3 linked regions of the Canis lupus familiaris genome follow. The protein of the gene in region 3 purifies or fractionates together with the protein of the main gene of each other region. This does not show direct contact. Links are inferred from orthologs where the notes say so. Each region holds a gene or a part of one and is shown on either strand. Other genes may lie near its edges. The genes, in order: WASL, GIT2 and NCK1.

The links.
Region 1: the proteins of NCK1 (region 3) and WASL purify together in Homo sapiens (co-immunoprecipitation; 4 studies listed by BioGRID and IntAct, with this or other methods). This does not show direct contact. The link is inferred for Canis lupus familiaris from reciprocal best matches to the Homo sapiens genes NCK1 and WASL.
Region 2: the proteins of NCK1 (region 3) and GIT2 purify together in Homo sapiens (co-immunoprecipitation; 3 studies listed by BioGRID and IntAct, with this or other methods). This does not show direct contact. The link is inferred for Canis lupus familiaris from reciprocal best matches to the Homo sapiens genes NCK1 and GIT2.

The regions. Positions count from the first base shown.
Region 1 is NC_049235.1:11,839,671-11,843,929, reverse strand, and holds part of WASL (neural Wiskott-Aldrich syndrome protein), read right to left. Parts: intron 2,187-4,259; coding exon 2,078-2,186; intron 1-2,077. UniProt on the Homo sapiens protein: Regulates actin polymerization by stimulating the actin-nucleating activity of the Arp2/3 complex. Involved in various processes, such as mitosis and cytokinesis, via its role in the regulation of actin polymerization.
Region 2 is NC_049247.1:17,528,333-17,532,591, forward strand, and holds part of GIT2 (ARF GTPase-activating protein GIT2), read left to right. Parts: intron 1-256; coding exon 257-369; intron 370-1,007; coding exon 1,008-1,113; intron 1,114-3,020; coding exon 3,021-3,107; intron 3,108-3,224; coding exon 3,225-3,355; intron 3,356-4,259. UniProt on the Homo sapiens protein: GTPase-activating protein for ADP ribosylation factor family members, including ARF1.
Region 3 is NC_049244.1:33,892,600-33,896,958, reverse strand, and holds the end of NCK1 (cytoplasmic protein NCK1), read right to left. Parts: intron 2,230-4,359; coding exon 2,035-2,229; 3' UTR 366-2,034; downstream 1-365. UniProt on the Homo sapiens protein: Adapter protein which associates with tyrosine-phosphorylated growth factor receptors, such as KDR and PDGFRB, or their cellular substrates. Maintains low levels of EIF2S1 phosphorylation by promoting its dephosphorylation by PP1.

The sequences.
Region 1 (4,259 bases), on a different chromosome or scaffold from region 3:
CTCACTGACACTAAGCCACTAAGGAAACACAGCAGGCAGTTCAAAAGCCAGCCTCTCTTCCTACCCTCCCTCCTATTCTCTCCTGAACCCAACGACATTGGTCTTTCCAGGTCACCAATGACCTACTGTTGCTAAAGCTAAAGCTCAATTTCCTGTTCTCATTATCTTGACCGATCACACACATTTGACTCAGATCGTCACTCCATCCTCGTTCCAACACTTCATGTATCTTCTAAGACAATACACTCTCCAGCCTTCAGACCTTATTACACCTTCTTTCCCCTTTTACATCCACTTCTTTAATGATCCCAGCCAGTTCTGTAACTTTAAATACCTCACCTATTTTAACAGCAGGTAAATTTATATTAACAGTCCAGACCTTGCCCTTCGATTCCAGGCTCATAACCAAATGCCTGTACAACATCTACATTTGAATTTTTAGTAAGTATCTCAAATTCAATATTAAAAAAAAAAAAAAAACAACCTCCTGATATTTCCTCTCAAACCTTCACTCCTTTCATGCTCATGTCAAAAATCTTGGGGAGTTATCCTTCACTCCTTTTTTCCAAACCTCACTTCCAATCCATCAGCAAACCCAAAGATCTCCAGATTCAAAATATTTCAAGCATCCAACCCCTGCTCACTGGTGCTACCAATCTGATTCAAACCTCTACTGTCTCTTTCCTGGCTCGTTGCCATTCTTCTGCTAAGGACCTTTCAGTGGCCTCCCATGACACTCATGGCCTCCAAAGCCTCACTACTGGCTTCCTACTACCTCTCACACTTCATTACTTTACTGTTCTTTCCCTCCCTTCCTTACTCAGCCATACTGACCTTACTAATGTTCCTAAACCTTAGGGACTTTGCACTTGCTGTTCTTTCCACCTGAATGAACATGTTTTCTACATGGTTTACTCCCTGAACTCCTTCTGGTCTTCTTGCAAATGTCCCATCAGTTATTAGGCCTCATCCTATTTCAAAATGAACTTCCCTCACACATCTTAGAAGTCCCTATATCTCCCTTTTCTGCTTAATTTTTGTCCTCAGTACATAATCATCACTTACCATGTATTTTTCTAACTTAATTTTACTGTTTGTCTCTCACTGGAATGCATGCTCTATGAAGGCCAGGATTTTTGTTTTTTGTTTTTTTAATTCCACGATAAATATTTGTGGAATGAACTAGCCTATTCTATCTTTATTACATAGTATGAGAAGAAAGAGGTCTATTTAAGGAAAACAAATATTGGTAACAGATCCTAGATATCCACATCCTTACAGAGAAACAAAGAGAAGAAAAATGACATTTACTGAGCACCTACTATGTGCTATGTAATCTGCTGGTTACTTACATATTATTTTATTCTTCATATCAATCATGATTCATGAATTCTCTCCATACAACATGTAAGAAAACTGAGGTCCACAGAAAGTAAATAATAGATTAATATGAATAAAGAACTAATTCTGGTCCATCATGCTGGGTAAGCTCTTTAGTAAACCTCAAGTATTACATCAGCAAGACCCACTGCTTTCTCTTTTGAAAGGAATATTCACTTATATGGTGGTGCACATATGCTTAATACTGGCCTCAGAATAGGGACTAGTTTATTCAAATAAACTTTTTAAGAAATCCCAAAAAAGAAGACACAAAAAACTTTAAGATTCGTTAGCAAATCCCAGAAAACCAGTTTCTCAGCCCTGACTCTCACAAATTATGGGAACTTGAATTTCTCATGTCACAAGAATGTCACAGGAATGAAATCCAGAATCTCAAGCCTCGTTTAGAAGTTTGCCAGGCATTTTATTAGTATTTCTGATATAGGAGATGAAATTGCCATTTTTCTTAAGTCGTTCTTCCAATTTATGGTTATGGCTATGGTGTCCTGGAACTCATTAGGCTTCAGATAGATTAGTCACAGTGGCAACAACTTTTAAAAATTTGCCCTAAAATCCACATCAGTGTTACTCAAAAGCAGGGAAAAAGCTAACAGACTATAACAACAACAACAACAATAAATAGAAAATAGAACTTCAAATATTAAAATTAAATATACATATACACATGAAAATATACCTGAAGAATGAATGGCTTTGCTCCTTTTCTGCATTACTTCCATTAATGCACCCACAATTCCTGAAGTGGGTGCAGGTGTTGGTGGTGTAGATTCTTGGCCATCAGATACCTTGGGGAAAAAAAGTTAGCAAAATTTAAAAATAAATTCTTAGCAAAAAATTTTTGTCTCCAAAGTCTTACTTTTTTAGAATCACTTCCTATTAAAAAAAAAAAAAGAGCAAATAAGCAAATGACAGGATTAACTAAGTTAAGAAGAAATAAATTGCTGTCTTAAAATAATTATTCAAGGTATATTTCATTCTCCTTAATGTATAAAGCCACCAACATATTTTATAATTTAGAATAACAAACCTTTCCCTAAATAATACTTGCCCTTACAGCTGGATTATTTCTGTTCATTTTCATTTTAGTACACAAAGCCTTAGCTGATGAAACTTTAAAACTATTATCAAGGAATATCATTTTATAAAACTATGATACCCAGATTCCTGGAGTTGTTAGGTGAGAAGGACACTTAAGATGTCTAAGAGCAACTGAAGAGACTTCTGCTCTCCTAGGAAAACTCAGCTTTACTCACAAGCTTTATAACTTTATATACTTACATTCATACCTCATATGATATTAATATGTAACATTACACACACATATGTGTGTGTGTGTCTGTGTATGTGTATATATAAGCTTTAACTCAAAATAAACTTTCCTTCTCATAGCACAGAACTTCTCTTCAAAGAGGTCAGTTAGGTTAGGTAGCTTTCAAAATGTACCTACCTCACAAGGCTTGAACCAACTATCCCTAACTAAAGTACTTCTATCTAGTATAAACTACATTCAAGGGGGAAAAAAATATCAACCTCAAGGGGTCTCATTAAAATCTAATTTCTGTAAATAATATTCTCTGATCTTAACTCTCATTTAAAAAGAGAGAATACAGGACTCTGTAGAGATTCAGGAAAAAAAATTTCAGAAGTACTGCTCTAAGTGTACTTTAACTAAACTGAGCAATAATTTATACAAAATACTTATTTTGTTTATTTTGTCTCTGGAATTATATTACTTATATAAAGGTAGAATACTGGTATAATTAAAAATGAATAATAAATATAAATAATAAATATAAATATAAATAATAGTGAAAGGGAATATAAGGGAAGGGAGAAGAAATGTGTGGGAAATATCAGAAAGGGAGACAGAACATAAAGACTCCTAACTCTGGGAAACGAACTAGGGGTGGTGGAAGGGGAGGAGGGCGGGGGATGGGGGTGAGTGGGTGACAGGCACTGAGGGGGACACTTGACGGGATAAGCACTGGGTGTTATTCTGTATGTTGGTAAATTGAACACCAATAAAAATTATTTTATTAAAAAAATGAAATCATACAGTTGTTTCAATTCTAAATCATTTTCAAAAGAAAAAGAATTTTCTTAGGGCAAACTTTTTATTTTGGTCTTTACAACTTTTCTAATACTACTACTTGTCTTTCTGGACTTACAGATCTTTTTCTTTTAAAAATATTCAAAGTAATTCTCCATAAGATACTGACTCATTCATTAGTATTTAGGTGTTGGCCTCATGTCAGCAGAAGGCCATCAAAGGAGTGCGGCAGCCATAGGCAGAAAGACGCCCTTGAAGAAGCTGGCAATACCAAGCATGGCATGGGTAGCACGGTAGGAGCACAACACTACCATAAATACGTCTTCTAAAGCACTGACTTGGACACAGTGCTGTTTAGGTACTGTGAACATGGAATTCAAAATATATGTAAGTGAATACCTATACACTTTCTGTCAGCTCTTTAAGTAAATCTGATCTTATGCTAGTCATTTTCATCACTGAATAAATGATTTATATAGACAGTTTAAAGAAACACAGAGAAATTTCAACCACAGAATGGTTTCTTAAAAAATGAAATAAAATTATGGTCTCAGATCACATATATAATATGCTAATAATTTACTGACTTATGCCCTTTAGGATATTACTCTGCAGCTAATTTTTTTAAAAAGTGATTATTTAGGGTAAGGATGGCCTATGCTTAGAATGGAACACATTTTTCTCTCTAAAAAATGTAGAGATCTACTTACAAGGTGTTTTGGGCAGGGAGAGAGTGGGATGGGATGGGATGGGATGGGAAGAAGTAATGACAGGGAAAATTAATAGGGAATTTAATTCAGCAACTTTT
Region 2 (4,259 bases), on a different chromosome or scaffold from region 3:
AAGTGTCAGAGTGCTCTTCCTTCATAATCTGTAAGAATAATCTAATCAAACTCTTTTAGGTACTTAGCCATCTTCCTGGTCAGACCTGAATCCTGCATATAGGTTCATCTTTCTCATTCTAGAATCAGAAAGCAATGATTTGTAAGACATCCTCGCCGTGCAGTGGGTCTTGGTTTTCCCAGTTCAGTCACTGTAATTTCCAGTGAATATTTGTGGAAAGAAATTAAAATATGATTTTATACTGCTTGGTTTTTAGATGGTTGAAACTTTGTATAATAATGGTGCTAATTCTATATGGGAACATTCTTTGCTGGACCCTGCCTCTATTATGAGCGGAAGACGTAAAGCTAATCCACAGGATAAAGTACAGTGAGTGGAATGTTTATAAATACTTTTATTTCTTCATAACACTTGGGGCCCACTAAAAGGAGTGCAGCTACTTTGGACCAGCCCCCACAAGGGCAGCACAGGAGGTGGTTACACCCCAATTGTGCGTTGAGCTCTCTGCTCTTAGGAATGCAGAACAAGGCCAGGCACAGGACCATCTCTTTTGCATGGTTGTACAGCACAAGTCAGTGGCTTCTCCAGTTTGACACTAATGCTCAGAGACTGTTAATGTAATCTGATTTAAGCTTAGGTGCTCAAACAAGAGGCAATCAGACCAAAAATCTCCATTCTGGGCTCTGGTCTGCCTGATGCCTCACCTATAGGATGGGATACAATGCTGCTTCCTCACAAGGCTGTAGGTCAGTTAAGAAAATTACAAAGAGAGAAGCTCTAAAAAGCAAGTATTCTGCAGTCCTGGCCTTTAGAATGACTAATTGATGTTTTGAGACTTCAGGTCTTAAACTCCTGCTGGAACTTATTTCAGTGTCATTCATTTTCTTCTCTAGTAGGGGATATGGGTCACTTCCTTTTCTTTTTACGGCCTAAAGAATGGGAAATGTTGCATCTGAACTGCAAGTAAGCAGCTTTCTTTCTTTCTTTTTTTTCTGGGTGGTAATCAGTCCTAATAAAGCAGAATTCATCAGAGCCAAATATCAGATGTTAGCATTTGTCCATCGCTTGCCTTGCCGGGATGATGACAGTATGACTGCCAAAGATCTTAGCAAGGTGGGTCACACTTTTTAAAATCCCTAAAACTGCTGGATCAAATGATATATTGTTTTGTTTGAAAAAAACTTAAAGAGGAAGAAAAGAAAAACAAAACAGAAACTTTCTGTACTCTAAATAATTAATAACAACCTTTTTTGCAGTTGGTTACATCTTTAATTTTAGTTCAAATGGCAGCCATTCTATGTTAGTGGAGGTACAAGGAGGTACAAGGAAAAATAAGTATGTATCTAGAAAATTATTTATGTTTTTCAGAAATGGTTTTGAAATTATATTTCTTGAGGCACCTGGGTGGCTCAGTTGGTTGAGCACCTACCTTCAATTCAGGATATGGCCCCCAGGATCCTCTGATTGAACCCCGCAGGGAACCTGCTTCTCCCTCTCCCGACTGCTCATGTTCTCTCTTTCACTATCTCTCTGTCTCTCAAATAAATAAATAAAATCTTTATCTCAAATAATTAAAATCTTTTTTAAAAAAGAGAGGGAAGGTGAGCACGAGCAGGTGGAGGGGCAGAGAGAGAGGGAGAGGGAGAAGCAGACTCCCCACTGAATTGATCCCAGGACCCTGGGATCATGACCTGAGCCGAAGACAGACGCTTAACCAACTGAGCCACCCAGACACCCCTAAAATTGTATCCCTAAAAGTTTTTCATTTAACTTTAAAATAGGAACCATCCCTTGAGTTTGTTTCTAGAAGGGACTAGAAAGTTCGAGGGACCTCTTTAGGTTTCTGGGTTGCATACTGAGTAGGATCTTCAGGAAGCAGGATGACTGAAAGCTGTAGTGCTTATGATTCTTTATTATACTTGTAAAATGAGTAGATGGTTTTCTTTATGTGGGCCTTTGCATGATTTTGAGAGATGCCATGAGAAACATGCATTTTTATTTTCAAAGCACTGCTTTTAGGAAATGTTCGCACAGAGCTTGGACACTTGCAATCAGAATTTTAAACTTTGCAAAAAAAAAAAAAGGAATTTTAAACTTTGCATAGAAAACATATATAACTGTTACTTCCGTTAATAAGCTTGGCATGGGGTTTTTACCACAACTTAAGAATATTAAATACATTAATTGTAAAAATAAGGTGTGGATATAGATGCTGGAGTAGACTTCTGCATTTTTATAATAAGGGTTATTGCATTTTAGACAATTCTAGGTTAGACTTGAAAAAAGCAGCTAATCTTCTGCATGTTTAAGAGCTTTTCTGCAGTGGTACAGAATTTGGTATACACCAGGCCTATTTCCCAGCCTGAAAGATTTTGTTAAAGTATTATATACAAGGCCAAGAATGTTGTTATGAAGAGGGTGTGCTATAAAGCAGAATCCAGTAGTTTACAGCATGGGGTACGCAGCCCTAAAGCCCTAGGTTAAATAACAACAACAAATAATAATGATTATAATAACAGCAGTTGTATTCTTTGAGTGTTTCCTGTATACCAGGCTCCATGCTGAGCATTTTGTTATATCATTGACTCCTTACAGTAATCCTTGAATAAGTGGCATTGTTTTCACCATTTTAGAGCTGAGAAAACTAAGGTTCAGATTGTTTAAAGAACTTCCACAAGGTCACACAACTTGAAGGGTATATGGTTTTAACTTCAGGTCTTTGAGACTTCAGAGCTGTGTTCACCTATCTTCTCATACCCCCTTTCACTTCAGGTCTGATTGTACCACTTAGATTGTGCATTTGGGCAAATCAGCCTTCCCATCCTTATTTCCTTATCAGTAAAATGGACCTGGCCCCACCTTAGAGCTCTGGAGTGGTTGTGACCAGCAAGGGAGAGGCTTACTGAGCTAAATAACTGATTATCACTAATATAATGTATATTAAAATGATCTGCCAGCTGCTATAGTATACCATTCTTTACACTTTTAACAAATACTTTTTTGATTTGTGTGTTTTTCAGCAACTTCATTCAAGCGTGAGAACAGGGAATCTTGAAACCTGTTTGAGGCTGTTATCTTTAGGAGCACAAGCCAACTTCTTTCACCCTGTGAGAAAAGCATGAATTGATTCAGATACTAAATTGAAACTAAGTGGGTTGTGTTTGTTGTAGCCTTTAGTTTTATTTAATTTGCTTGTTAATCTACTTTTTATTAATATTTCTCAGGAAAAAGGAAACACCCCACTCCACGTTGCCTCCAAAGCAGGGCAGATTTTACAGGCAGAATTATTGGCAGTATATGGAGCAGACCCAGGCACACAGGATTCTAGTGGAAAAACTCCTGTGGATTATGCAAGGTGAGAGACCTAGATTTCTTGTCACTGCATCTTTGGTTAGGGATTATTTATGTTGGGTATTATTCATTGTTGGTGGCTAAATTGTGTATGATTAACATTTAACCCCTTTAAGTTAAGGATATACATCTCCCATTATTTTACAGATGAAAGCATTTCAAATACATAAGAGCTCAGAGCCTGGCAGAGTTGGAGGAGATAGAACCATTAGCTTAGCTAATGTGCTTAGCTTCCAGTGTGCTTAGCTTCCAGTCTTTCAAATGACTTCTAATGCAATGGTATTTGAGCCATAGTCCAAAGCAAGTATCAAGAATTGCAAAACCCACTCCTCAGTTTCTTAATATGTTTAGTCATTGCTTGAACTTAAAAAACAGAGCTATATAGATAGGTAGGCGATTAAACAAGTAATAGTAAAATGTTAATTATAGGTTTTAGGTAGCAGATGTCTGGGTGCTTGCAATAAAATTCCTTAAGTTTCTTCTTGTTTTAAAAACTTTGTGAAATGCTGGAAAAATAAAAAAATCCATGTTAGCCTTGAATATCATTTAAATGGTAGAAGATGGCTCATCTTTCTTTTTCCAAATTAATTTTTTATCAACTGCAAAGCATTCTACTGTTCTGCAGAGGATAAAATGGGTGAAATGCCAAAATTGTGCCTTCCCAGAATTTATTATCTCATGGAGGAGATGATTCATAAATACATGAAAGAGTTAAAGGAGGCAAGATAATGTGGAATTCATTGCCAAAATGGATAACTGGTCTTAAAAGGCATATGTAGGGTTTCTTCGTTTTGACCTAAGTTAGTAAGAAACTTCTTTAGTTGGTCTTTAAAAAATGGGTTGGATTTGGGTGTGTGAAGGAGAAGCTAAGACATTCCAAGTGAAAGAGAAGGATTGAGTTTACGTTC
Region 3 (4,359 bases):
AACTCTCTAGTTATTATAAATCTAATTATGTCAGAGAATGTGCAATCTACTTCCAGTCTTCTCCATTCCTAGCTGCTTTCTTAAAATCCTTAACATAAGTTCAGTGGGGTTTGCTATAAATATAGCTCATGTGATACATGATTAATGCATCAATTACATTGTGATTACAAAGTATTAATTGCTTCTTTTTTTTTTTTAAGAAATATCTTTTTAAAAAGAAGACTGGGGGGAAAAACAAAAAATGGAGAAAAAGAAAGCATCATCAGCTGTTTAAAATCAAATAAAAAGGTGTTTACTACCTAATCATATTTATAACACTTTGAAACTATTTTCTTCAACTTATATTCAAGTGATTTTACAGCAAAAACAGGTAAGCACATGACTTTTATTTCTATTACAATTGTCTACTAATAATCATCTCAATAAACAAAGAGAGACTGACAAAGATAATGAAATATGAACTAAAAGGCTTTAAAAGTAGATGTGGTGAAAATAAAAAATTGTACATCAATGCTTTAATTGTATTTGCTGACTCCTATTGCTTAGTGGGAGAAGCCAGGGCTGCCACCCAGTGGCAATGTAAGTCTTCAAATGATTTTAAGAGTTAAAGAATAAAAATTACTTAAAATAATTAAAAAAAATAATCCAAAAACCTCAGGAATTAGACAATTTCAATTTTAACATCAGTAATTTTGGTGTATTAAATACTTATCTATAACACATTAAAGAATAGAAACATTCATTTGCTTAGGCCGCACTGGGGAAATTTTTAAAAATACCATAAGATTTCCTAATACTGAAAGTAATTTTGCTTAAATTTAAATTCCAGAACAAATTATGTCGGAGAGGATAGCTAAGACCACAAAATACAGCTGTTTTCTTCTGTGACCTGCAGAAGTAGATTCAATACTCTATAGTAGCCTCTCATTCATACACCCAAGCTTCTGTTTAGTAAACAAAAACAATAGAAACTCTCCAAAAGTAAGATTTCAAAAATAACCTTCTCTAACCATTTGGCACATCCCATCTTTTCCTCAGGTATGATCAATTTTAGTGTCTCAGTCAACAAAACTCAAAGCTGAAAGGAGGAAAAGAAAATAGCAGAAATACTATACCTAATACTGATAGACATGTTTGGGGAGGGGAGACAAGTATCTCACTGCCTCCTACTTCCCCAACATTTGGCTGCAGCTTTTTTCACACTGACACAGATACAACATGCCCCAATACAAGATGCTTTGTCAAAATAACACTAGGGGAAAAAAAAAAACATAACACTAGGGCATCCATTTATAGTTTAAAAAGCTAAATATCTCAGAGACTGCTTTATTCTCTTAAATAACCAGGTAAGAAGCAACCCCACAAAAAAGTCCTAGAAGTTTAGATTTTTGTTTCCAACAGTTGCAAATTAAAAGTGTACAAGATACGTTTTCAAACCTATGTCCCATTTGTTTTGCTTTACAATGAAGACAATGAATATTTTTTAAAAATGGCAGACACAACATACTTGATATTTACAATGGCTTGCAACAAATACCTGAAAATAATTTCTAATTATCCATTTATTATTGCTATTTAGTCACAGAAAAGAACATTGTCCAAGAAATTTATTTTAGCATATGCCATATACTGATATAATAATTTTATATGAAGAGAAACCATTGCAGAAGTGACCTAAATATGGTGCCCTTACAAGGAAATAAAGAAAAAAACCAATAAATTCTTCCATGTAAAGACTTTCGATCTGCATCATCTTTAGAAAATATAAAACCTTAATATTAGAAGCAAAGAGAAAAACAGACAAGAAACAATAAAACAGAAGACCAAGGATAAGGAACTGCTTTATGCAGATGCTTTGCATATGTAGTATATATGTATGGGCTGAGTTATAATAAAAATACTTATGTATCACACTCAATTCTCATGTAGAGTCAGAAATCAATTTCCAATCAAATATGATTGGATTGACATTTTCTCAGTCTTCAATTACATGATGAGTTATAGCTTTATAGCAGTCACTTCTGGTCAGCATTATCATGACAAATGCTTGATAAGATACAGTTTTTCTCCTTGTTCACTTGTAAAAATTGGTGCCTTTTTGTAATGTTCTACAAGTTCTTCCATGGTGCTGAATTTACGCTGCCCAATGCAGTAGACAGTCTCTTTTAGTTGGACTTTAAAATGCTTGTTTTTCCCTTGTGCTTTTAGTGATACAGAGAAATCATTTGGCTAAAAGAGAAAAAAATACATAGGGTAAACATTTTGAAAGATATCTATTAGCATTTTTATATTACACTAATAATAATAAAGTGCTCAAATCTTAGCTAAGTACTAGGCACTATGCTATTTACATAGATTATCTCCTTTACACCTCTAACCAACCCTTTTTAGAGATGACAAAATCAAGGCCAAGAAAAGCTAAGTTGCTCAAAATCATCCATGTAGTTAACAAGACAGCCAGGATGCAAACCCAAGCAGCCAGACTCCAAAGTCTCTTAAATAATATGCTCTAACACCCATGGCAAATCCTTTAGTTTAACATCTGAAGCACAAGAGCTATCTTCTCTCCTTCAGACAACTGGAGAAACACATGAGAAAACATGAGTTAATGTGAGCTAACAGTAGCTATCTCATAGACTAGCTCAGATATTCGGCTGAATTCTTAAAGACAATAGACACTAATGAGAGGTCATAAACTCAAATGCCTACAAGGGTCAAAAGACATATAAACAAATGACAGGGTGGACAGAGAGAAGGAACAGTGCATGGCCAATTTAAAGAAAGTGGCCACTTAGTGGTGATTGTTGTCTTGTAGAAATACAGGCAAGGTTGGCAGGCCTTCCAATTTTATTTTTATTTATTTATTTAAAAAAAAGATTTATTTATTCATTCATTCATTCATTCATTCAGGGGGAGGGAGGGAGGGGGGGGGAGAGAGATAGTAGAGACACAGGCAGAGGGAGAAGCAGGCTCCATGCAGGAAGCCTGACACGGGACTGGATCCCGGGTCTCCAGGATCACACCCCGTGCTGCAGGCGGCGCTAAACCGCTGCACCCCGGGGCTGCCCAGGTCTTCCAATTTTAAAAGGAAGTCTGTCACCTGACTTTTTATAGTAAATTTCCCAATATTTAAATACTGGTAACAAATTCAAATGTTTAAAAAACATTGTTCATGTCAAACAAAATATCCTGTTTGAAATCTTTACTTTAAAAATTCTAGGGATGCTTGGGTGGCTCAGTGGTTGAGCATCCCTTCAGCTCAGGGCCTGATCCTGGGGTCTCAGGACTGAGTCCTGCATTGGGCTCCCCGCAGGGAGCCTGTTTCTCCTTCTGCCAATGTCTGCCATTCTCTGTTTCTCATGAATAAATAAAATCTTAAAAAAAAAAATCCTACTGCTAAAAATGATGGTGCATGTTGGCTAATATCCATGCTCAATTACCCACCAAGAAAACAGTGTTTTGTAACCAAGCTACTTTCTTACTTTTTGTTGTTTTTTTTAACCTAAACACTTTTCTGAACAGTCTAAAAGTTTTATATAGTTACTGACAAAGTTTCAAATAGTGGGCTTCTTGGAAACATCCTATACCTATGGTTACTCTTATCACCTGCTCTAAGGTCACTCATTTCCTAATGCTTCTTGCTCACTGCTTGTCCTAGAAAGATAGATCAAGTCAGGCATCTAACAGAAAACAAATCCCACCACTGTTCCCTATCATTGATCCTGCTCTTCCTGAGGGGTTATGTACAGGCCTCATTTCCTGAACTTCATATCAAGCAGTTCAATTACCTCTCTTTTCTTCCCTCCCTTTTATAAACATATACACGCTATACGCAAGTGCACATACACACACCAGATAAGTTTTCTTCTGACTTTAAATCTTTTCTACAATCACACATTCACATTTATAGAACTACATACACAGAAACAAAGCCAATACTAATGATCTGAAAACTGGAAAAGTAGTGGTATCCTTTTAAAAGGAAAAATAAAGACCAGTTAAATGAATAGGACCAAATTCTAATATTCTAAACAGTAATCAAAAGAGCCTACATAACTATTATTCCATTTTTATGGTTTCATAGTTTTACTAATATTAGAAAAAATATCTTTTATTGCAAATACATTTCAAAAACAGTGAGTATTAAAATAGGTTTCTGAGGTAAATAATAAAAGTGTATTCCAACTTCCAAACAACCAATCTATGAACAAACTTAAATCTCAATTTCTTTAATTTAGGGATTTCCTTTTATAAGGATGACAGCACATCCAATATGCAATTTAAAAAATGTTTTCTCAGGTGCACCTAGGTGGCTCAGTCAGTCAATCTTCTGACTCTCGATTTCAGCTCAGGTCATGA